2 linked regions of the Oryzias latipes genome follow. The protein of the gene in region 1 purifies or fractionates together with the protein of each later gene. This does not show direct contact. Links are inferred from orthologs where the notes say so. Each region holds a gene or a part of one and is shown in the gene's direction. Other genes may lie near its edges.

What was found.
Region 2: the proteins of mphosph10 (region 1) and imp4 purify together in Homo sapiens (affinity purification with mass spectrometry; 3 studies listed by BioGRID and IntAct, with this or other methods). This does not show direct contact. The link is inferred for Oryzias latipes from reciprocal best matches to the Homo sapiens genes MPHOSPH10 and IMP4.

Annotation. Positions count from the first base shown.
Region 1 is NC_019861.2:17,877,235-17,888,713, reverse strand, and holds the start of mphosph10 (U3 small nucleolar ribonucleoprotein protein MPP10), read left to right. Parts: upstream 1-5,973; 5' UTR 5,974-6,005; coding exon 6,006-6,091; intron 6,092-10,419; coding exon 10,420-11,080; intron 11,081-11,206; coding exon 11,207-11,373; intron 11,374-11,472; coding exon 11,473-11,479. Other genes in the region: ferritin, heavy subunit, read left to right, coding at 1-37; mcee (methylmalonyl-CoA epimerase, mitochondrial), read right to left, coding at 2,880-3,032, 4,864-5,198, 5,883-5,910. UniProt on the Homo sapiens protein: Component of the 60-80S U3 small nucleolar ribonucleoprotein (U3 snoRNP). Required for the early cleavages during pre-18S ribosomal RNA processing. Part of the small subunit (SSU) processome, first precursor of the small eukaryotic ribosomal subunit.
Region 2 is NC_019867.2:28,393,557-28,405,130, forward strand, and holds the start of imp4 (U3 small nucleolar ribonucleoprotein protein IMP4), read left to right. Parts: upstream 1-6,293; 5' UTR 6,294-6,395; coding exon 6,396-6,398; intron 6,399-7,196; coding exon 7,197-7,305; intron 7,306-8,679; coding exon 8,680-8,763; intron 8,764-8,828; coding exon 8,829-8,938; intron 8,939-9,249; coding exon 9,250-9,382; intron 9,383-9,483; coding exon 9,484-9,638; intron 9,639-11,441; coding exon 11,442-11,536; intron 11,537-11,574. Other genes in the region: rabl6 (rab-like protein 6), read left to right, coding at 13-216, 2,129-2,384, 2,509-2,695, 2,903-2,961, 4,052-4,240. UniProt on the Homo sapiens protein: Component of the 60-80S U3 small nucleolar ribonucleoprotein (U3 snoRNP). Required for the early cleavages during pre-18S ribosomal RNA processing. Part of the small subunit (SSU) processome, first precursor of the small eukaryotic ribosomal subunit.

The DNA of each region.
Region 1 (11,479 bases):
GTTTGACAAACATACTCTTGGTGAAGAATGCAGCTAAATCTGTCCAGATGACTTGCACACCTGCTTCTGCAAATGTATTTTTATATCTTGCTTCCATACTATTAAAAAAAGATCTGTTATCTGCATGATGGGTAGTTTGACCTTTTCTAAATGGTATTTGTGTTCCATCCACGTTGCCACACTAATGGAGTAGTAGCATTGAAGATCTTGTTTGTCATCACCTTGTCATTGCTGCATATTTGCTGTATTGTGCCGAGAGTTGTTTCTTAATCTCAATAAATCCAACCCCTCTGAATTGTGTTTCATTTTATTTTCAAATGGAGCATTTCAACTCGGGTTCAGGTGCTGGAATAAACTCAGTTTGATTTCGATTTCTCAAACCTAATTTCCAGTCAATGCAGTCAAATGTTAAAGCTTATCTTTAGTTGTAGACTAATGCATGAGAAGATTCTCAGTATCCTGTGTGGTTTTGTTTCTCTACACAAAACTTGCAGAGCAGTGTAATTGCTATAGTCAACCTGCAATTAGTGTGCAAATGTGCGCAGATTGAAAATATGGTTCCCAGCAAGGCTGTGGTAGAGCTTAAACATCACCTGTTCTCCAAATGACTAGTCGAAACGGGTTTCAGTGTGTTTGCTCAAAGGACAGGTGACGTGATTAGCTGATGTTCCTCACAGAAAAGCAGAAGTTCTGAACCTTTTCTTCCCATTTTCAAATGTAGCTTGAGAGTATCTGCATGAAAGTCAGTTAAACAAGCTAAAAGGACTTTTGCTGCAGTGGAAGTTTTAGTGGCATGAACTTTAAATTCAATATTGTTCAGAAGGACATAGATCAGAGCTTATCCCAGCTGTTTGGGCCAAAAGCCGGGTTCACACTGGACCTGGGATAGACTCCCACCTCACCTCCCTGAAAATGATGTAGGAGGTTCAGAAGATGGATGGATTGCTGGAACATTCAGTGTGTTAACACTGTTCCATGAAAACAGCAAATACGTTCTCTATCAAAGAAGCTCCTCAGGCCTCAGAAAATGTAATTCTGTCAGGGTTCACGTCTGCCATTGTTTCAACGCAACAGAAGCTGCTTCATTGTCATTTAGATGACTAAACACCTGAAAGCTGCCCTTCATGCCATCATGCAGTAACCACCAATGGCAAACATCTGTAAATCTACAACAAAATGGTTCAAAGTTTTGCAGTGACTCATATTTGAAGCCTTTGCTGAACTAGAAAATGGATCTGAATAAAGCTATAAAGAAGCACAAGATGAGGGTTTTTAAAGCGTTAAAGTTTTTAATGCTGCTAAAAATATTTGTAATGAGAGGTTTTCCTAGTGGCCAAATGTCAAAAATAATTTTTTATCTAATCCGACTAAAGTTTTTTAACCTAAAAGGCACTTCAACTTAAAGCACAACACCACAACCAAACACAGGTTTAAGACAAAAAACAAAATAATTTGGGTTTTTCCAAAAGAGACAAATGTTTGAAGGGAAGTGAAATTATTACATAACACCCACCTGTCAATTCAATTCCCCAGTGTGTCAAACAGATGTTTTGGGGCATTTTATTTTGCCCTTTATTCTAACAAACAGAAAGCTGTAAAGGCTTCCCTAAATGTCAAGGCTCCCCCCAACTCTCCCCTAATGGTGACCTTGAAATAGGATAATCAGCTTTATGTCTACCTTAAATAACTGGTTTAATTTAGTGTCATTTACAATCATTTTATTTCATAAAAGTGTGTCACCTGATGTTTGTTTCAAATATATTTCCAATGCTACATCAAAGCACAGTAACAAGCTTGTATCGGAAAAGTTTGGATGATTTAGAAAGCTCTTCCTTTTGTTTTCCAGTCGAGTGAAACATTCCAGAAATGTTGTGACTCATACGTTTTTTAACAGTTGTGTTATGTGGCCATTCTCAGAATGCCTAAAAGTTTCCAGCATGGAGGACACAGAGTAACAAAACATTTTGTGACGGTTTCCCTCTTTACAGAATTGCGTTTCCAGAGCGCGATTACACTTCTTTTGTTTTTGGAGGGAGGCTCCACATCCTCTGCAGGCCTGTCGACTGCCGGTCCTTCCTCTTCAGTAGAGTCTGCAGAAAGTTACTTTGCTAAAATGAATACACATTCACTAGAAACACTGCGATCTTTAAGTAAGTATGTTTTGCACTGATATCTTGAGATGGTCTTATCATTCACCCCCCCACACACACATTTTAGAGAGGGAAATTTCAATGAGTTATTTTTTTATGAATTAGACACAAAGTAACCCTTTTTAAACTTTTCTGAAGACTGGAACAGCTAAAACTAGAGATAAAAGAATCCTCACAAGTTGATGCTCAAAATAGAATCTTTACTGCTATTTACACAAAAATCAAACATTATCTTGAGACAACATTTTAAAATTTAAACAGATGCTCCCTTTGCAAACACAAAAATGCAAAAAAAATATTTTTTTGTTTTATTGTTCCACCATCACGATCTGAGAAGTGAACTGTTTTCTGGTTCATTTTTGTTTATTCTTGTTTGATATGTCAGATGAAGACAGATTGAAACATTTTTTTTGAAGTTTAATGTGTTTATGTATGTGTTTATTTTTCCAACAATTTAGAAGGGCAAATTTTTTGTTGGAAGCTTGGGAACATCATAAGACATTTAGTTTAAAATGATGGAAAACCTGTCTGCCTACTGTTTGTGTTTTTGTACGTCCATGTGGGCTTTGAGTGTCGATTTTTTTTAAATACAAAATGAAAATATGAATGAGAATATGAGAAGAAGAAAAAAAAAAGGAAGTGAAATGAGAAGTGTTAGAAGGAACAATGCACATTAGTGGAATATATACATGTAAATGGAGGTTTTCTCCTGGTTCCAGGCACAGATGCTTATGCTTCTTCGAGCTCAACCAGCACACCATCACAGTCTTTAGGATGAAGAAACATGACAGGCTTCCCGTGAGCGCCGATACGAGGCTCTGCTGACAGAGTCCTGATGTTCTTAGCTTTCATGTCCGCCACAGCAGCTTTAATGTCATCAACCTGTGAATATAAAAAAGGAAGAAAACACGTGTCAGTGTAACAGCGGCGCGTGTCAAGATAAGCATCAGAAACAATTATGGAAGCTTGAATTAGCTCATTCTGAATGGATGGATGGATGGGTGGGTGGGTGGATGGATGGGTGGGTGGATGGGTGGGTAGGTGGATGGATGGGTGGATGGGTGGGTGGGTGGATGTATGGGTGGGTGGATGGGTGGGTGGGTGGATGGATGGGTGGATGGATGGATGGATGGATGGTTGGATGGGTGGATGGATGGATGGATGGATGGGTGGATGGGTGGGTGGGTGGATGGATGGGTGGATGGATGGGTGGATGGATGGATGGATGGATGGATGGTTGGATGGGTGGGTGGGTGGATGGATGGGTGGATGGATGGATGGATGGGTGGGTGGGTGGGTGGATGGATGGATGGATGGATGGATGGTTGGATGGGTGGGTGGGTGGATGGATGGGTGGATGGATGGGTGGATGGATGGATGGATGGATGGTTGGATGGGTGGGTGGGTGGATGGATGGGTGGATGGATGGATGGATGGGTGGGTGGATGGGTGGGTGGGTGGATGGATGGATGGATGGATGGATGGTTGGATGTATGGGTGGGTGGATGTATGGGTGGGTGGATGGGTGGGTGGGTGGATGGATGGGTGGATGGATGGATGGTTGGATGGGTGGGTGGATGGATGGATGTATGGGTGGATGGATGGATGGATGTATGGGTGGGTGGATGTATGGGTGGATGGATGGTTGGATGTACGGGTGGGTGGATGGATGGATGGAAGGGTGGATGGATGGAAGCTCAAATAAAATACCGAATTAAAGTGGGAAAAATACAGCAGACCTAAGTAACTCTTGTTATTTATGTCCACAACTCTCCAAAGGTTCTGCAAGTGAATTTCCTTTGAGTTTAGACTCAAAACTCTCGATTAGTTTCTTTTCTTTTTTAAGAAACAGAGTTGGTGCTGTGTGTTTATTTACTTTTTTGTTTAGTGTTCCGGTCCCGTAAAGTGACTCAGTTTTAGTCAAACTTTTTGCCCTCTCATGCTTTCACACGTCTTTGCTACACGGAAATGCTTATGGTAGATTTTAGGACTCCCACGTCATCCAGTCCTACCGCTGCAAAACAAAACCACAACATTATCCTGCTTGACAAGCCCTTAAAAATCAACGTGACCAAAACAGAAGTCACTACCTAAGATGTGGTTTTGATTGAGGCAGGTGTGTTTGGGGTGAAGAAAACTTATTGCTTCATCTTAAACTGATGTATAATTTAGATGAAACATTTATTCAAATATTTTTTATTTAGTTGAAGTGAGAAATAATGCATGTAGATAACACAAGAGGAGGACAAACATTTAAACGAAGATAGGAACAATTTGAGGTTTGTTTTTCTATAAGTCTACCGACTCTAATGTAAGAGATCTATATTTTTAGTAATTATTCTTTCTGTTACATCGATTTTTAAGAAATATTTTGATCCAGACTTTTCACATAAAACTTTGGAACATTTGGGGTTTTCTTTCTATTCACCCAACGCTGGGAGATTAGGTAAAATATGTTGATGTTCGAGAAAGGCTCATTTGAAAAACCATTAAAGGACTTGTGTGTGTAATTCTACGATTATCAGTCAGGAAGGAAAATCCTTTTTCGATGCTGTAACAGAAAATTCCATTCAGGTGTGTCATTTTCATCAGGTCACGCCTATTCTTTCTGCTACTGACACGCAAACATACCTCCTACCAAAGCAATTTGTCATCATCATGGTTGTATAGCTATGGGTGCCACCTGAATGACCTATTGTCTAATACCTCTCACCTCGATGCAAATGTGATGCATCCCTCCAGACTTGTTCTTCTGCAGGAAACCAGAGATGGGGCTCTTGTCCCCCAAAGGATGGAGCAGTTCCAGCTTTGTGTTGCCAAGCTCCACAAACACAGTGTACACCCCGTGCTCAGGAAGGGGCACCTTGTCGCTTACTGTTGCCCCGAGCACGTCACGGTAAAGAGCTGTGGCCCTCTCCATGTCGGGCACAGCGATGGCAATATGGTTCAGCTTCCCCAGCTTCCAAACGGCCCCGGGGACGCCCTGGCAGAGCGGCGTTGTCGTGGAGACACCCCTCAGGAGAGTGAAACACCTGGAAACGCCTGCTGCTGGATAAACAATACAAAAAACATGAATCAGGACAACTGTAGCTGGATGTGTGGTTTGCCTTTTCATAGCAGTAAACACTGTATTCTGATTTAAATTCACTAATTTTGAAAATGCAAAGTCTAATCTATTATTCTTTCATCTAAAAATGTCATTAATACAGTTTGAAACAGAAATATTTGTTAGGAATAACCAGCATTTGGGTTGCATCTTCTTTATGGATTTAAATAATGTTATAAGGAGATTTTGATCATCAGACCTAATTTTAACGACAGCAGTTAGATCGGCTGTTGGCAAATAATGTACAGAATTATGTTTATTAGAATAATTTGTTATTTTGAAGAAGAAAAAAGTGTTTCTTTAGACTTGTCAGTCCTCCATTCCAACAACCAAACCGGTCAAAAACAAAAATTAGGTGTAAAACGTGTTGACACGTTTTAAAGTTTAGCTCATTTTTACAACTGTAACAAAATTTAAAAATCATTACATCATTTACTGATTTTTTTTCCCCCTCGTGTCGTGTGACATGATATTTTGATGAAACTCAAGCTTACAAACTCGGTTTTAACTTGAGCATAGTCTTTTTTAACGACTGGATCGGGAACAATACATCATAATTGTCATCCTATAAGAACAGAAGACGTTGGGGAAAGCTGTTTGTTAGAAAACAATCGACAACAACAAACCTGCAACCTTGAGCATTGCTGACGCCATGTTAAGAGGTCGGAACCAAGTTTCAGCGGAGCACAGGTTTCTCCTGGAACGTGTTTACGTGCGGCACACGGGAGGGTCACACATGTGACGGGAAAATGGCGAGTGAAGATGTGTTTAGATTGTTGGAAGATTGTGTCCAAAAAGTACAGGAGAATACGGCACAACCAGACATTTTTCTAAGGCAAGTGTTGGTTTATGCTTCATCTATTGAATAAAAAAAAAGTTAGTTTTTATCTTTGCAGAGAGAGGAGACAGTGTGGCGCAATCAATGCTAATGTTACTTCATTAAATAACCTACAGCTTGGATTTTTCATCTCTAACATTTTGTTATAGTCAGTAATAATAGAGGGCTGAATTTAAGACTTGGCATTTATGTAAAAACACAGATTTAGCCTGGGATGTGCATCTGCAGGCGGTGTATCAGACAACAGTTTAGCATTAGTGTGGTGAACAACACAGACACAGGATTCTGTTGTAAATCAGTTTTGTTCAATAAAATGATCAGATTTATCTAGATTATTGTAACCAGCTTTTACAAACCTATACTATACATACAAAAGAAACAGATTGATATTGTCAAGTCACTAGAATGGATTGTATAAAAATGCAGATTCCAGAACTTAGTATCTATTTATTAAAACTAAACATTACTGAATGAATGTGTGCCTGCCTGAGGAAATAGGTGATATTATCATCTTATATCATGATGTCAAATAAAAACAGACATAAATGTTTAGCTCCACATTAAAGTTACACAGACTATTTATTTCACACATTTCTTAAATAAAATGAGTGAAAAAGACAGGGATCCAAATAACACAAATAGCAGCATTGAGAAACTTAGCAGTACTTGGGTTAAATCCCTGTGGTTAGGGGGGGTCGTAAAGAATACTACCAACGTATTCCCTGCGTGTCGTAAAAGGCGACTAAAAGGGACGGAGCGAGAGGACTGGGAATCCTCTCCCCTGTAACTACATTCCTAATTACGGACAGGGTAGAGTTGGGAAGGGGAGATTACCTCCCCAAACCCTTAAGATTGGGTCGTTGAATGTGCGGGGGTGTAGTACAGACGGAAGCAAAAGAGATCTGATTGGAAGGATGTTTGAAAGGAGGGGAATGAGCGTGTTAGCACTGAGTGAGACAAAGATGAAAGGGAAGGGTGAGTGTGTGTTTGGAAGTGTGAGTGGGAGAATGTCTGGTGTAGAGAGCGGGAGAGCAAGAGAAGGTGTGGCTTTGCTGGTGAGCTGTGAGGTGAGACGATGTGTGGTTGAATGGAAGGAGGTTTCACCAAGACTGATATGGGTGAAAGCGAAATTTCGGAAGGAGCTGTGGGTGTTCGTGAGTGCATATGGTCCTGGCAGTGAGAGGAATGAAGAGGAGAGAGTGACCTTCTGGAACGACTTGGATGAGTGCTTGCAAGGATTTGGAGCAAATGTGAATGTAGTGCTGATGGGAGATCTGAATGCTAGAGTGGGTGATGAGAAAATTGAGGGTGTTGTTGGCGGGCATGGTGTTCCTGGAAAGAATGATAATGGTGAGAGACTGATAGGAATGTGCACTGAAAGAGAGATGGTGATTGGGAATACATGGTTCAGAAAGAAAGAGATCCATAAGTATACGTGGGTGAGGCAGAGTGGTGGAAGAGTGATTGACAAAGCACTGATGGATTATGTGGTGGTTTCAAAGGTTGCATGTAGTAGATTGCTAGATGTAAATGTGAGGAGGGGAGAGTGTGGAGGTATGTCTGATCACTATTTGGTGGAAGGAAGGTTGCGTGTGGGTATGCCATGGGTGAGATCGAGAAAGAGTGGGGAGGCAAGAAAAGTTCTGAGAGTGAGTGTTTTGAAGAACAGAGAGAAAATGTGTGAGTATCAGAAGGAATTAGGTGGCAAGTGGAATATGGTGAAGGAGCAAATGGTTGTTGGAGTGGAGGAAGAATGGCAACAGTTCAAAAGTGCAGTGGTTGGAAGTGCAGAGGAAGTGTGTGGTGTGAGACGTGTTGGGGGTGGTCTAAGAAAGGGAAGTGAATGGTGGTGCGAGGATGTAAGGTTGGCTGTAGCTGAGAAGAGATGTGCGTACGAAGTATGGCTGCAGAGAAAGGACAGGGAGTCATATGAGTGTTATAAGGAGAAGAAAAGGGATGCTAAGAGAGCTGTGCGTGAGGCAAGAGCGGCTGCGGACGAAAGGTGGGGCAGACAGTTGACTGATAATTTTCGAGAGAACAAGAAAATGTTTTGGAAGGAGGTAAAGAGGGTGCGAAAGGGAGCGTCGGGGAGGGAGGAGAAAGTGAAAACAGAGGATGGAAGGATGTTGAATGAGGGGAATGCAGTAAGGAAAAGATGGGCAGAGTATGTCGAGAGGCTGCTGAATGTGGAGGAAGATCGGGATGCTGTGATTGGGATGGATGGAAGGGAAAGTAGACTGAATGTATTGGGAGAGTTGAATGAAACGTTGATTACAGGAGAGGAAGTTGAGCAAGCTGTGGGAAAGTTGAAAGTAGGAAAGGCTGCAGGTGTGGATGGGTGTGCTGGGGAATGCCTGAAGTGTGGTGGAGCGATCGTGATTGAGTGGTTAGTGAGATTGTTGAATGTGTGTTTTGCAAATGGGCAGGTGCCGCTTGATTGGATGAGTGCGTGTGTGGTTCCCCTGTACAAGGGTAAGGGTGATAAGTATGAATGTGGTAGTTTTAGGGGTATTAGTCTGTTGAGTGTTGTAGGCAAAGTATATGGGAGAGTGCTGATTAATAGGGTAGTGGAGGGAACTGAGTGTATGATTGGTGAAGAGCAGTGTGGTTTCAGGAGAGGTAGAGGGTGTGTGGATCAGGTGTTTGTTGTGAGACAGGTGTGTGAAAAGTTTTTGGCTAAGGGGAGGGAGGTGTTTTGGGCATTCATGGATTTAGAGAAGGCGTATGATAGGATTGATAGAGAGGCGTTGTGGGTGGTGTTGAGTATGTATGGTATTGATGGTAGATTGTTGGAAGGTGTGAAGAGTTTCTATAGACACAGTAGAGCGTGTGTGAGAGTGGGAAATAGCATGAGTGAGTGGTTTCCTGTGAGGGTTGGTCTGCGTCAGGGATGCGTGATGTCTCCGTGGTTGTTTAACGTGTATATGGATGGTGTGGTAAAAGAGGTGAATGAAAGGGTGTCGGGTACGGGTGTGAGCATGATAAATACTGACGGCAGCGAATGGAGTGTGAATCAGCTGCTGTTTGCAGATGATACTGCACTAGTGGCTGACTCAGAAGAGAACTTGGGACGTCTGGTTGAGGAGTTTGGAAGGGTGTGCGACAGAAGGAAGTTGAGAGTGAATGTGGAAAAGAGTAAGGTGATGAGGTGTACGAGGTTAAAGGGTGAACGCAGATTGAATGTGGCATTAAATGGGGAGTTGTTGGAAGAGGTAGAGTGTTTTCAGTATTTAGGGTCGTGTGTCTGTGTGGATGGTGGAATGGGGGGAGAGGTAGAGTTTAGAATGAATGAAGTACGAAAGATATGGGGGGGAATGAAGAGAGTGTTTGAATGTAGATCACTGGGAAAGGATGCAAAAAGGAGATTGTATGAGGGTGTGGTGGTGCCTGCAGCGTTATATGGGGCTGAAACATGGAGTCTGAAAGTGGCGGAAAAGAGGAAGCTGAATGTAGTTGAGATGAGATGTTTGAGGAGTATGTGTGGTGTGACGCGTATGGATCGTATGAGAAATGAAGTTATCCGAGAGAGAACTGGTGTGACGCGAGAGTTGGCTGAAAGAGCAGAGCAAAAGGCACTGGGATGGTTTGGACATGTTGAAAGAATGGAAAGGGAGCGATTGGTGAAAAAGGTATATGAATCTGATGTGAGTGGAGTGAGAATGAGAGGAAGACCGCGAATGGGATGGACAGAGGGTGTAAAAAGAGCGCTGAATGCAAGAGGGATGACTGTGGTGCAGGGGAGAGAGGCTGCTCAGGACAGGGATGGGTGGAGAGAGTTTGTGTATGAATGAATGGATGGGTGTGGTAGAGGTCTGGTCTTGGGATGAAGCGGCAAGGGGAAACCAGCCTTGGCTGAGGCCCTGCAGTGGAGGTGCCCACACTGGGCTGTGCAGCTGACCCTGGTGCAGTGTGGTGTGGCTTAGACCAGATCTCAGACCAGTCGCACGCACATACGCACACACGCACTCACGCACTGAAGGAGGAGGGTTTGGGGAAGAGACAGAGGGAGCTAAAATTGTGTGCCTTGTCTAGGCTACCCCACCTTGGTGGGACACAGCCTTGGTAAATAATAATAAAAACTTGGGTTAATATACCATGTCAATCTAGTTCAGTGTTGAGACAACACTGGGGTTCATTATAGTCTTTGTAGGAATTGCGGAAATAACTGACTACATGGAGTCTATATTGAATATGGATGGAAATTTATCTGAAGTGTATCAAATGATACGGGACATTTTTATTTAAGTTGTAGTGATATTGTTTGGTCTTAAACTCTTTCCTAAATTAACTCTCCTTACTGAATTTAATGTCTTTGTCTTTTCCAGCCCGCAGGACGAAGTGGCAGCAGAGTTCACGTCTCTCACCAAAACCTTGTATGATCTCCGCAAAGCCCAGGAGCCTGCAGGTTATGGAGGCAGCCCGCTGGCTCAGCTTGTGGTGGAAAACTTTGATGAAGAGCAGATTTGGCAGGAGTTGGAGCTGCAGAACGATGCTGTCCTGACACACTTTAAGAATGCCATAGATGGGGCTTTGTCAAATGGAAACCTCACGTTACTGTCAGATGAAGAAATGGATGCAGACAAGGAAGACCAGAGTGGAGTAGAAGAAGAAGAAGAAGGAGCAACAGATGATGAAAATGTTAGCGAACAGCTTCCTCGACTGTCTAAAAAATCCTCAGTGGAAGCTGAAGAAGGCTCAGACAATTACTCGGAGGATGACTCGGATATCGACTTTGACGTGAACGCTTTGGAGAAACAGAGAAAGGACAAAGGAAAGACGGGCTCCAAGAAAAAAGTGGTTCCCTCTGAAGTTGATGACAAGTTCTTCAAACTGTCAGAAATGGAGACGTTTCTTGATGATATAGAGAAGCGAGAGGTCAAAGAAGACGACAACGAAGATGAATTAGACTACTTTCGGGACCTGCCTTCCGATGAAGACGATGAAATCAACTTGGATGAAGTCATGTCTTCCAAAAAGAAAAAGACAGTATGTGTTTTTGCTTGTTTTTAAGTCATCGCTCTGGGGAATCCATGAATCTCATGGCTGATGTTTGTGCAGATTCTCATTCGTCCTAGCACTACAACAACTGATGCCAACTGTTTCTGCTAACAGGGAAAGAGTTCCAGAGATCTCAAGTACAAGGACTTCTTTGATGCAGTGGACAATGAACCAGATGAGCAGCAGTCAGATGGAGACGATGACCACATGGATGACAGCCAGGAAGAAGATGGTGAGGAAATTGATGGCGAAGACGACACCGAAGAGGAGGGCGATGATGAGTAAGCGTGATCAACGTTGCATAACACGCAGAGATGCGTGAGAGAAATGTTTTTGTTTTGTTTTTTTAGTTTGAATTTTTTCCCCCGGCCCTTTTCCAGGGATGAG
Region 2 (11,574 bases), on another chromosome or scaffold:
TTTCTGCGGCAGTGACGGCGAGGGCAGGGGGAACCCCATGGTGTCCGGGTTCCTGGACGAGCTCGATCCCGATGACAATGAACCAACCCAACCCCGGGCTTCCAAACCACCCCCCAGTAAACATGTCACCCTGACCAGCGATGAAGAGGGGGGAGAAGAAGCAGCGCCCATAATTACACAGGACCAGGACGTGGACAGCGAGCCCGAGCTGAAAGTGTACGTTAGTTTGAGTAACTCAATGAAACAGTCATTCTTATTTGAGAGGAAACGGCTAACTAATCAATTCCTTACATTTTTTGTAAACATACAGCTTTTTGATTTTCAGTCTTAATGTGAAAAAGGCAGCATTTCTTTCTTATTTTTTATGCTAAAATGTGTGTTGGTAGCTCCTCCCTAACGCAGCGGGAGCGTCAGGTTTATTAACTCCTCCCACACGCGGCGGGAGCGTCAGGTTTATTAACTCCTCCCACACCCGGCGGGAGCGTCAGGTTTATTAACTCCTCCCACACCCGGCGGGAGCGTCAGGTTAGTAACTCCTCCCACACCCGGCGGGAGCGTCAGGTTTATTAACTCCTCCCACACGGGGCGGGAGCGTCAGGTTAGTAAGTCCTCCCACACCCGGCGGGAGCGTCAGGTTTATTAACTCCTCCCACACGCGGCGGGAGCGTCAGGTTTACTAACTCCTCCCACACCCGGCTGGAGCGTCAGGTTTATCAACTCCTCCCACACGGGGCGGGAGCATCAGGTTTATTAACTCCTCCCACACACGGCGGGAGCGTCAGGTTTATTAACTCCTCCCACACACAGCGGGAGCATCAGGTTTATTAACTCCTCCCACACACAGCGGGAGCGTCAGGTTAGTAACTCCTCCCACACACGGCGGGAGCGTCAGGTTTATTAACTCCTCCCACACACGGGGCGGCAGCGTCAGGTTTAGTAACTCCTCCCACACACAGCGGGAGCGTCAGGTTAGTAACTCCTCCCACACACGGCGGGAGCGTCAGGTTTATTAACTCCTCCCACACACAGCGGGAGCGTCAGGTTAGTAACTCCTCCCACACACGGCGGGAGCATCAGGTTTATTAACTCCTCCCACACACGGGGCGGCAGCGTCAGGTTTAGTAACTCCTCCCACACACGGCGGGAGCATCAGGTTTATTAACTCCTCCCACACACGGGGCGGGAGCGTCAGGTTTAGTAACTCCTCCCACACGCGGCAGGAGCGTCAGGTTAGTAACTCCTCCCACACGCGGCAGGAGCGTCAGGTTAGTAACTCCTCCCACACGCGGCAGGAGCGTCAGGTTAGTAACTCCTCCCACACACAGCGGGAGCATCAGGTTTATTAACTCCTCCCACACACGGCCGGAGCGTCAGGTTTAGTAACTCCTCCCACACGCGGCGGGAGCGTCAGGTTTATTAACTCCTCCCACACGCGGCGGGAGCGTCGGATTTATTAACTCTTCCCACACGCGGCAGGAGCGTCAGGTTTAGTAACTCCTCCCACACGCGGCAGGAGCGTCAGGTTAGTAACTCCTCCCACACGCGGCGGGAGCGTCAGGTTAGTAACTCCTCCCACACGCGGCGGGAGCGTCAGGTTAGTAACTCCTCCCACACGCGGCGGGAGCGTCAGGTTAGTAACTCCTCCCACACACAGCGGGAGCGTCAGGTTAGTAACTCCTCCCACACGCGGCGGGAGCGTCAGGTTAGTAACTCCTCCCACACGCGGCGGGAGCGTCAGGTTAGTAACTCCTCCCACACGCGGCGGGAGCGTCGGCTTTATTAACTCTTCCCACACGCGGCGGGAGCGTCAGGTTTATTAACTCCTCCCACACACGGGGCGGGCGCGTCAGGTTTATTAGTACTGCGGCGGAAACCACAGAATTTCATTACAAGGTAGAGGCAAGGACAGATGTTCCTGCGTTCTGGGTTGTTTGTGACCCAATCCCACTTCATCAGGCAGGAATCCCCACAGAGGATCTGTGTATCCAGTTCGTTTTGTGAAAACAAACAAAACGGATGCTGAATATGTAATCAAATCCCTTAAAGTGGATCAGGAATAGTACAAATGTGTCAATTAGACGTCTGGCAGGGACTTCCTGCCCTTTTCATGAGTGACTTCCTGTTCCAGAGCTGCACCACCTCTCACCAAACCAAAGGCGGGGTCTAAACCCACGGAGCGCACAGGCCACGCCCCCGTCTTCCTTACGCTGACCCCAGCAGCAGTGGAGCAGCCGGCCCGACCCCAGAAGAAGAAGAAGGGTCCCTCGAGGGCGGAGGACTCGGACACAGACCCAGAACCCCCTGTGGCCCAGCAGATGCTGTCTTTCGTCATGGATGACCCTGACTTTGAATCTGAGGCCTCTGACACCCCCAAGATTGTAAAGGTACACCGCTGGACGGCAGTGCCCAAGCTCCCGGCGCTGCCAGCACGCCGCCTCATCAGTGCTGTTTGAAGGGGGGAAGAGAGAGATGTTTGTTCACATCTGTGTGTCTCTGGGTTCACCTCAGGAGACGTTTCCGCTCAGAGACGACCTCCTGTCCGACCTCTCTGACGAGGACATTCCTGCAGTCACGGCGCCGGAGCCGCTGAAGCCCACTGTGATCTCCTTCAAGCCCAAGGACGACGCCGACCTGTTCGGCCTGGGCATCCGGGAGGAAGCTCCTGCAGCGAAGGACAGCAGCGAGGAGCTGGAAGGTGAGCCGCTGTGGAAGAAGTTCCCGTGATTCCTGGGTTTGCTCAGCAGCTCTTCTTATGTTTTAACTCTGAAAGGACACCTGCCCCTTTAATGACCTCAGGCTGGGAACAAACTTAAAAATTTAGGTCACTGATTCTGGCCGGTCTGTGGAGCTGTTCATGCATGTTCTGAAATAACGCAGCGTCCCTCTTTTTCTTATTTTTTAGAGAAAGACGGCAAGCCCTCCTCCAAGGAGAAGAAGAAGAAGAAAAAGAAGAGCAAGGAGGTACATTTTTCAGCTGCTGCTCTTCTGCATGTGAGATGCTGCACTCGAGCGTCAAAAGGTTTAGAACCGGGTCTGCAAGCTGAGGCTCCAGAGCCACAACAAGGGCCTCCTTCTGCCCTCCACTGTGGCTCTTTGGCTCTGAAGAAAAATGCTAATAATTTGAATCAATTATGGGTTTGTATTTTTGATCCATTTGATTTAGGTAAATAAGTTTTGTCATTTAGGTTTAGATATTTACCATGTCTGATAAGCATCGGTAAAAGGTTTAACCTACAGGTAGAGTCGTTTTTAGACCCTAAAGCACATATTCTTATCTTCCACTGAATAGCATATTTTTGCTGTTCAGAGGCAAAACTTACATTTAAATGCATATATTGTTTTTAAAGTCAACCATTGTTGTCATGTTTATACTGATGGTAAACAGGGAAAAAAAGATAGACCAAAGTTAAAACGCTAAAAAAAATTCCATGTTTGGTGTAGCTTTCTTGACTGGTTAATTCTGTTCAATCTGCAGCAGCTGAAGGATCTCATTTGACATTTTATTTTAAAAGGAGCTTTCATTTCTGCTGTCAAAAGTAAATAAGAAAAATCTGACACTTTCTTAATCCTGTTATAGTAAATCTGTAACACTATAATGTATGAATGACTCCCTAAAAACCATCAATAGAATGCAGTGAAGGGGGGCTTTGGGGCTCTCTTTGGGCTCGGTCAGTTGGTCCAAATGGATCTTTTTGCGTTTCAGGCTGCAGACCTCTGGTTTAGAAGTTTAGCTGAATCCAGTTCAGGTTAAAGCCGTTTCTGCACATCAACCTTTTTGACGGTTGCAGATGTTGAGATTACCGCTAATGATGTTCTGTCATTAGATGGAATATTTCCAAACTTGCAGCACTGATACGGTTTACAGAATCGACATGTTTGGCGCTCCTGTAAGCTGCAGAACACGCCTAATGTGAGCTTGTTTTTGTTTTTGAGGAGTTTATCATGGACATAGCTGGTCGTGAACCATACTGTTTCAAACAGAAGAACGAGAAGTCTTCTGGTCACATGAAAGAGATCGGCTGTTAAATGCTGAGTTCTTGTCCGCTTGCAGGAGGAGGAAAAGAAGAAGAAACACAAACACAAGAAGAAGGAGAAGGACGAAGCTGCAGCTACAGAGGAGAAGGACAAACGGAAGAAGAAGTCCCGGTCGAAGAAGTCTGAGGTGGATGAGCTGGAGGACTTCTTGGGTGGGGGAGAAGGATTGGTCAAACGAGATGATGGAGATTATGAAGAGCTATAAAAACCGGCGCTGAAGCGAGACGTGTGACGTCCAGAGGAGCAGAGAGGAAACATCGGCAGTCGCTGTGAGCGGAGAGCTTCAAGCCATAAACCAAGCGAGGCTGCAGGAGGCTCCATCTCTACTCCTGCTGTCACTCCCATTCCAGCCAATAAGAGGAGGCAGCAGGAGCCATGCAGACTGTGTGGCTGCAGAACCTGAATGAGTGTCTGGATTTCAGTTGTACACGTGGTCTCCGCTGAGTGTTTGTGTTAACGTGTGAGCATGCTCAGTGATGACGGTGTCTTCATCTTCCCTTTAATTCCTTCGTCTGCTTGTTCTTTAGTCTTTTTTTTTTTTTTGCCTCTGTTGTGCAGGAGAACCATGTGACCCACGCTCCTACCCCGCCGCTTCAACGAAGCTGTGCATCACCACTCGCTTTCAGTTTACAAGCTAACAGACAAGCCGCTGAGCCACAGCAGAACACTTCCCGGTTCTGGTGGTTCTGAATCATTAGAACCTTGTTCTGTTTGGCTGCTCCACCCTATTATGTAGTTTCTGCTGACACAAGCTCCTTCTGCCCATAACATTTGCTGTGGAGAATTGATTTGTCCCCCCCATTTCAAGTGTTCTTACTGTAAGCTGGTGGGTCACATGACCCGGCTGTCACCGCCTTTTATTGGTGGATTTGTTGGCTCATTCTTCTTTTGTTTTCTTTGTTCTATTTATTTCTGCTTTGATGCAAATGTCGGATATTAGTCCTGGTTTTGCTTTTGTTTCTGCTCCACAGCCGCTCACTCCGACAAACTCCATCCAGCTTCCGGCTGCATAGCTGCAGGCGGGGGGAGGGGGGGCGTGAGACACGATGGACTCAAACGAGGCTCTTCAGCCCCCCCATCACCCGAATTAACATTTAATACTCCCAGCGTTCATCTGTATTTGCACACATTTCCACTCATTCATGGTTTAGATGAACAAAAATAACGATTTTGACATTTCAAAGTTGAAGCTATGCAGCATTTATCTCCAGTACTGTTAGCATTTTGGACTCTTTGTGAGGATAAATGCTGAAGGCCGTTTTAAAAGTCCACTCGAGTGCTGAGCAGGAACAAAATGGAAATAAACGTTTGAAATCTTTGTTCCAGCATGGAAACGCTGTCGGCTTCCTGCCTCTTCTGGCGGCAGTGAGGACGTCAGAGACGCTGTATCATCATGAATAAAGCTCTTGGTTTTTCTTTTCTCTCATGACCCATCTGTGCTCTAAGAGTTTACCCATGTTTGTCAAATAAAAAACTTATTTCTTCATAACAGGACAATATATTTGTGTGTTTATTAACTCTTTTCTGTCTTCCTGCATGCCTTTCATCTGACAAGCCCCTTAGAAATAAATTTTTACCCCTTTGACAAATTTACTATAAATAAGCAAAAAATCTGCCAATGGGGCAAGAAAAATGGTCTTATTGTTTTTTATATACCTGGAATTATTCTATTATATATAAATATTTAATATTTCAAGAAAAACACTTCTCAGATTAAGATTATTTTGCTAATAAAATCTTTTAGGTAAGATGAATTTTTCTTGCAAGACAGAAAATGTTCTTTACTTTAACCCTGTTTAACCAGGGAGGTCCCACTGAGATTTAAAAACTGTTTTTTTCTCTATATTTAGGAGAAGAATCAACAAAAAACACAACGAGCAGGCAAAAGCCCTTTTATTATGTCTAAGAATAATTTCTTGAAAACACAAGGTTCTTTTTACTTTTTTAAGATTTGTTTTTTGCAGCGTAGAGCAGGAAACGTGCAGCTCCAGAGCTCAGAAGGAACCTGTTCAGAACATTCTGGATGATAATCCTCAAACTCTTGTTCAGAGCAGATCTGCAGAATCTGTTCAGCAGAATCAAAGCATTACATTGGAAAAAATTAAATCCCTTATCATCCTAATATAAAAAAAATGCGTTCACATGGGTCTGAGTTTGTCTGGTTTCGGGTGCAATAAGTCTGGCTTTTTATGTTTCCAGTTAGTCTCCCTGAATCCACGGCTTTTATTTTGAAACGCCGGACACGCTGTAGCAGGCGCTTTCATTGGCTACGCCCTGAGCCAATCACAGGCAGTTTTGTTTCTCCACGCTTCCTCGCCCACGTGACTAGCATCGTGAATCTTGCTAGCATAATCCTCATCATGGTAAGTAGACTTAAATCTGTGAAAATCTATCGGTTTAATGGTTTTGTTTATTATTTAAATAAAGTTTTAGTCTGAATCGGAACCAGGAAATAATAAAAGGTCTCAAACGAAGTTCAGCTTGAGGCTAGATTATCCTGCCGAATGTTGAAATACTTTAAACTTTTTATGCCGTCTTCTTAGTAGATCGACTTAAGCCATTGTTTTCCCGTGAAAATCTGTTGCTCTGCATTTAATTTGATTATATTTTTTTTTGCTTTTGGGCGTTTTCGTTTTCGCCTAGACCGTAAAACCTAACCATTATGGATCAGGTTTTTGTCCAACGGCTGCTGTGCTAGTGTTTTTTTTTTTTTTTCAACAAGCTCAAGCTGCTGCACGTGTTTGTCCTTTTTACATCCTTGATTCTGTGATCGATTCATGTCGTCTTAGTCTTACTATCATTTTTACTCCCTACACCTGAATGGACTCAGCTGATCCTGGTATTCAGGTGTGGCAAACACAGAGCCGTTAAGGAAAAGGTCAGCACAGGTTCCTCAGACTAGTTAAGGCCAGAATTTCAAACCTATCCTGGCTGGATGTCATCATTCAGCTTCAGTGCAGAACCTCTCAGATGGACAGGATGAAACTCTGCTGTGAAACGAGTCCATCCACCAGGCGCAGTAAAAAAAAAAAGCTGCATGTTATGTTTGTGCTGAAAGCCCCTGAACCATCAGAACCCCTTTCACACTGGGTCTGTCGTTCTGGATTCCCCAGGTGTGAACATCTGTGTGTTTGAAGCTGCCTCTGTCCTCCTTTCTGCAGCTTCGTCGGCAGGTCAGGCTGAGGCGGGAGTACCTGTACAGGAAGGCCCAGGAGGACCGGCTCCGGACCATCGAGGAGAAGAAACAGAACTTGAAGAGCGCTCTGGATGGTGAGAGGCTGCTTTTTGGTTAGAGGATCTTGGACTTTTTAGGGCTTCCTGCCATTCCTTTACACTGAACATTAGGAATTAAATACCCAGATCAAAAAATAAATAAAATAGGGCTTTTGGTGTTTTTAACGTGTTCTTGTAGCATTTTTCAGACGATGGAAGACCTATATAAGGAAAATTAGGCTGTAAATTGCAATTCTGAGTATGTTTTTATTTAAACTGTTGTGAATCAGGAGCAGACAAATATTTGCTGCACAGAAAATACGCCGGGTGGGCCTCAATCTCCCTGCTCCGCTCCATTCCGAAGCATCCACCTGCAGACTTAGAGATCCATGAACGTCACGGGCTGGAAAACTCGCGATATTAGTGATCAATATTGCAATAACGATATAACCTGTGGTATATGAACAAACGGCCAAACAACCAAAAAACATCATTCCCGTTTTATTGGAACAGTTTAAATAGTATACTCCAAATGACCCTCGTCTACATAGAACATAAACATCTAACATAAATAAGGCTCCATCTGATTGGTCATGAAGATGTCGATCTGTTCGGTCAAATGTATAAACGGATACATTTGATTCGTTAAACACTTCAAGCTGGCATAAGTTGTTTTAGCACACTTATTTACCATTTATTGCAATTTTTGCCGTCTTTTGCGATATGCATATTGCACAGCTTGATATCGCGATAACGATACATTTCCCATTTATTGTGCAGGCCTAATGAACGTCTTTGTTTTCCTTGTCTGAATCTGGATCCAAACTGTACGGCTGGATAGCTCCTCTAATGCTAGCCATTTTTGTTGCAGTGCTAATGTTAGTTTGGGGCTGTAAGCCAGCAAGAGGCAAATAAACAGATGGGTGACGGGAAGTGGGAGCGGGCCCGCGATGCGCCAACAACCCTGCCCACAGGCGAAATTCTAATAAACTCATTCTGCTCTGCAGAAGCTAAGTCCTAGAAAATGACAGAGGTTTTTAAAATTGTGCCTAAAAACGACATCATCATAACTAAAAGATCACTGGGAACGGTTTGAAAAATGATCAGAGTGAGTCTGAACCAAAAACCATCTCCATGGGGGGGTAACAAGGATTCATCGGTTGTTGTTTACCCTCCCTGACACACTACAGGTCAGCCTTCCGGTGCTCAAAAAAGGTCCGTCAAAGCTGATGTTCTGTTTGTGTTCTGGGGGTTTTTCTACCAATCACAGTACTCTGGTGTTTGTGTCATGTGACCTGAAGGTTTCGTAACAATGTGTTTGCGATATTTACACGCAACTTCACTTTTTCTTTTTCCCCCCTGCTGCTTTTGGTAACTCGGCGTTTCCCCCGTCGTCTTAAGGTTAACACGAGCTCCCTTCTCTCGCCGCAGAAAACCGTCTACTTCCCACAGAGGTCCGCAAGGAGGCTCTGCAGCTGCAGAAGCTGCTGGAGTACGACGACGAGGGGGCAGAGGGTAAGTGCTGCCGCGTTCCAACTTCAGCGCCCTGCGGCTCCTCGTCTCAGGTTCGATCTCCTCAGGTGTTAGCTCCCACATGGACGATGAGTACAAATGGGCCGGAGTGGAAGACCCAAAGATCATGGTCACTACATCCAGAGACCCGAGCTCCAGACTCAAGATGTTCGCCAAGGTGGGTTCAGTTTGTCCACAGCTCTGCAGTGGAAGTCCTGAGGATGAATACAGAGAAGAAGAATTGAGTCACACTTCAGGAAGTTTTTAGATGACCTTGGAAGTTTGAGCTGACGGAAACCAGAGTGAAGACACCACATGGATCCATCCTGATCCAGATGTGGCTCATGTCTGACGGTCCTGTTCTCTAGAGAAACAGGAGCTTCCACCTCTTTAAAATAAGTTTTCCAGTTGGTTGAATCACAACAAAACAGGGTGAGTGTTTCTGTGAGGCTGTGCACCAGGATGATGCCTTCACTGTCCTCTCTGCAGGAGGTAAAGCTGATGTTTCCCGGGGCGCAGCGCATGAACAGAGGAAACCATGAGCTCCCAACACTGGTGCGAGCCTGCAAGGCCAACAACGTGACAGACCTGGTTATTGTGCACGAGACCAGAGGACAGCCAGGTATGCGCTCGTTCAGCGTCACTCCTGCGTTTAACCAGGTGCTGGTTATTTAGACTACTTGGTGGCGGTTAAGTCCTGCAGAAACTCTGTTGTCTCTGCAGACGGCCTGGTGGTGTGCCACCTCCCCTTCGGACCCACAGCCTACTTCACGCTCTACAACGTGGTGATGAGGCACGACGTTCCTGACATTGGCACCATGTCTGAAGCTTACCCCCACCTCATTTTTCACAACTTCACTTCCCGGCTCGGCAGGAGGGTAAGCGGTGGGGCCGCCCCGTGCACACTCCTCACAGCTGTTCACACCGAACGTGGATTTGTGTCCGCTGCCGCTCTTTTGACTTGCGTCAAATTTGCTGCTGGATGCTTATCCAGAGATGTTCTCATAAACATGACACTCCCACCGCATGTGGGAGGAGCTACATCGCTACGTGGAAGCAATGGTTGTGTCCAAATTGGTGGTCTGCGTTCTTCCTGGGCTGCATTTGAAGTGCTGTCCAAATTCAGCAACTCCCACAAATGCGGCCATCCAGCACTGCCCTCTTTCTTCCCAAATTTCAAGGATTGGTCTGCTGTATTCTTCTATGCTGTCCATATCCCAAGATGCATTGCAGCCAAACCTGGAGATTTTCTGACAACAATGACGGACTGTGAAGTGGGACCTGGAGTTGGAATAATTACACCTTTTTATAATTACTCCTCCAAGATTAAAAGTTGGATCAAATAACACAGGAAATTTTTGCGCTCCATGCCTGGTTCGCTACTTCTTTCTGTTCCGGACTCACAGTTTCTAGGCGACAGGACATTCGCCGATGTAATGGCTGCAATCATCTAAAGGCTAGACTCGTCCAAATTCACAGTCGTTAACATCCGGCCTACCCGCTCAAAGAAGGACCCGGCCAACGTCGCCTGGGAAGGATGTGGCTGTTGAAGGATGCAGCTTTAATTCATGGAAGACTCAAAGGATGTTGAAAGATCATATTTATTTATTTTTAACAAGCTCTAAAAAAACGGCAGTACAGTGATCCATGTTTGGGTTTGTGAGATCAATCAGAGACCCTCCCAGGACGGTGAGATTCACCATCTACTGCAGGAGCTGCAGCTGAATGACGGACGCTTTCAGCGCTACTTCTGTCTCTCTGTGACCCAGTTTGACGACTTGGTGGGAGGGAAAAGATACACATCGAATAAAATTACAGGACCTTACGGTGCAAATAACAAAAGTATCATAAAGTTCAGGAGGACGATCAGATTTTCCTCCATGTAGATTTGGATGCCACCCGCTGGTCACATCATCAACACGTCACGGGCCAAAGCAGAGTCCCTGATTGGCTAACTCAATTTGTCTTTTTTGCCAAGGTTCAGATATTTAAAATGTGAAAACACTGCGCCGCAACGCCTGAAGTTCACTGGTGACAAAATGCGGCGCATGACGGTCAAAACGCGTCGCAGGACCTCTTGATTGTTTTTGTTAATTGACTTAACATTGAAACTGGACCGTTGACTGTATACGAGAACTGGACTGAGTGTGGCGTCAACCATTCCAACCAAATGAAGTCAATTCAGTCGACTTTTTTTTTTTCCAGCAATACTGCCGTCGCCATGTTAGAATCAGTCGACGTCAGTAAACAGTGATTGGTCCAAGTTGGTCTGAGTCAGGGTTTCTATGGCAACCTCTCTCACCAATCAGGAGGGGGCTTCTTGGAAGTCCACACCGCTACCACTGGGAGGCGTCCTCAGGAGAATCAGTCAAACATTTATACTTTCATTCAGACATCTGATTGGTCAGTTTATAACTTGCAATAACAAATTATATCATGAAAAAAATTAGGATTAGCAAGAATATGTAGGAGAGCAAGAATGGTTATTCTGACAAATAGAATGACTGAGTTATCGCTGTTCATTTCGCTATGTGATTTTGGCTTCTTTGATCCAGCGGGTACTTCCTGTTTGGAACGCCATGGGAGAGGGGACATTTAGTCCAGTAATATGGCCAATGAACTGGACATGTGCGAATAATGCTTGGTGTGAACGTAGCCTGTGATGCCCTTTGCCCCTACAGGTCTCCAGTATCCTCAAGTACCTGTTTCCAGTGCCAAAGGACGACAGCAGGCGAGTGATCACATTCGCCAACCAGGACGACTTCATCTCCTTCAGGTGGGTGTGGACCCGCCCCTCAGTCAGAGATGAGAATG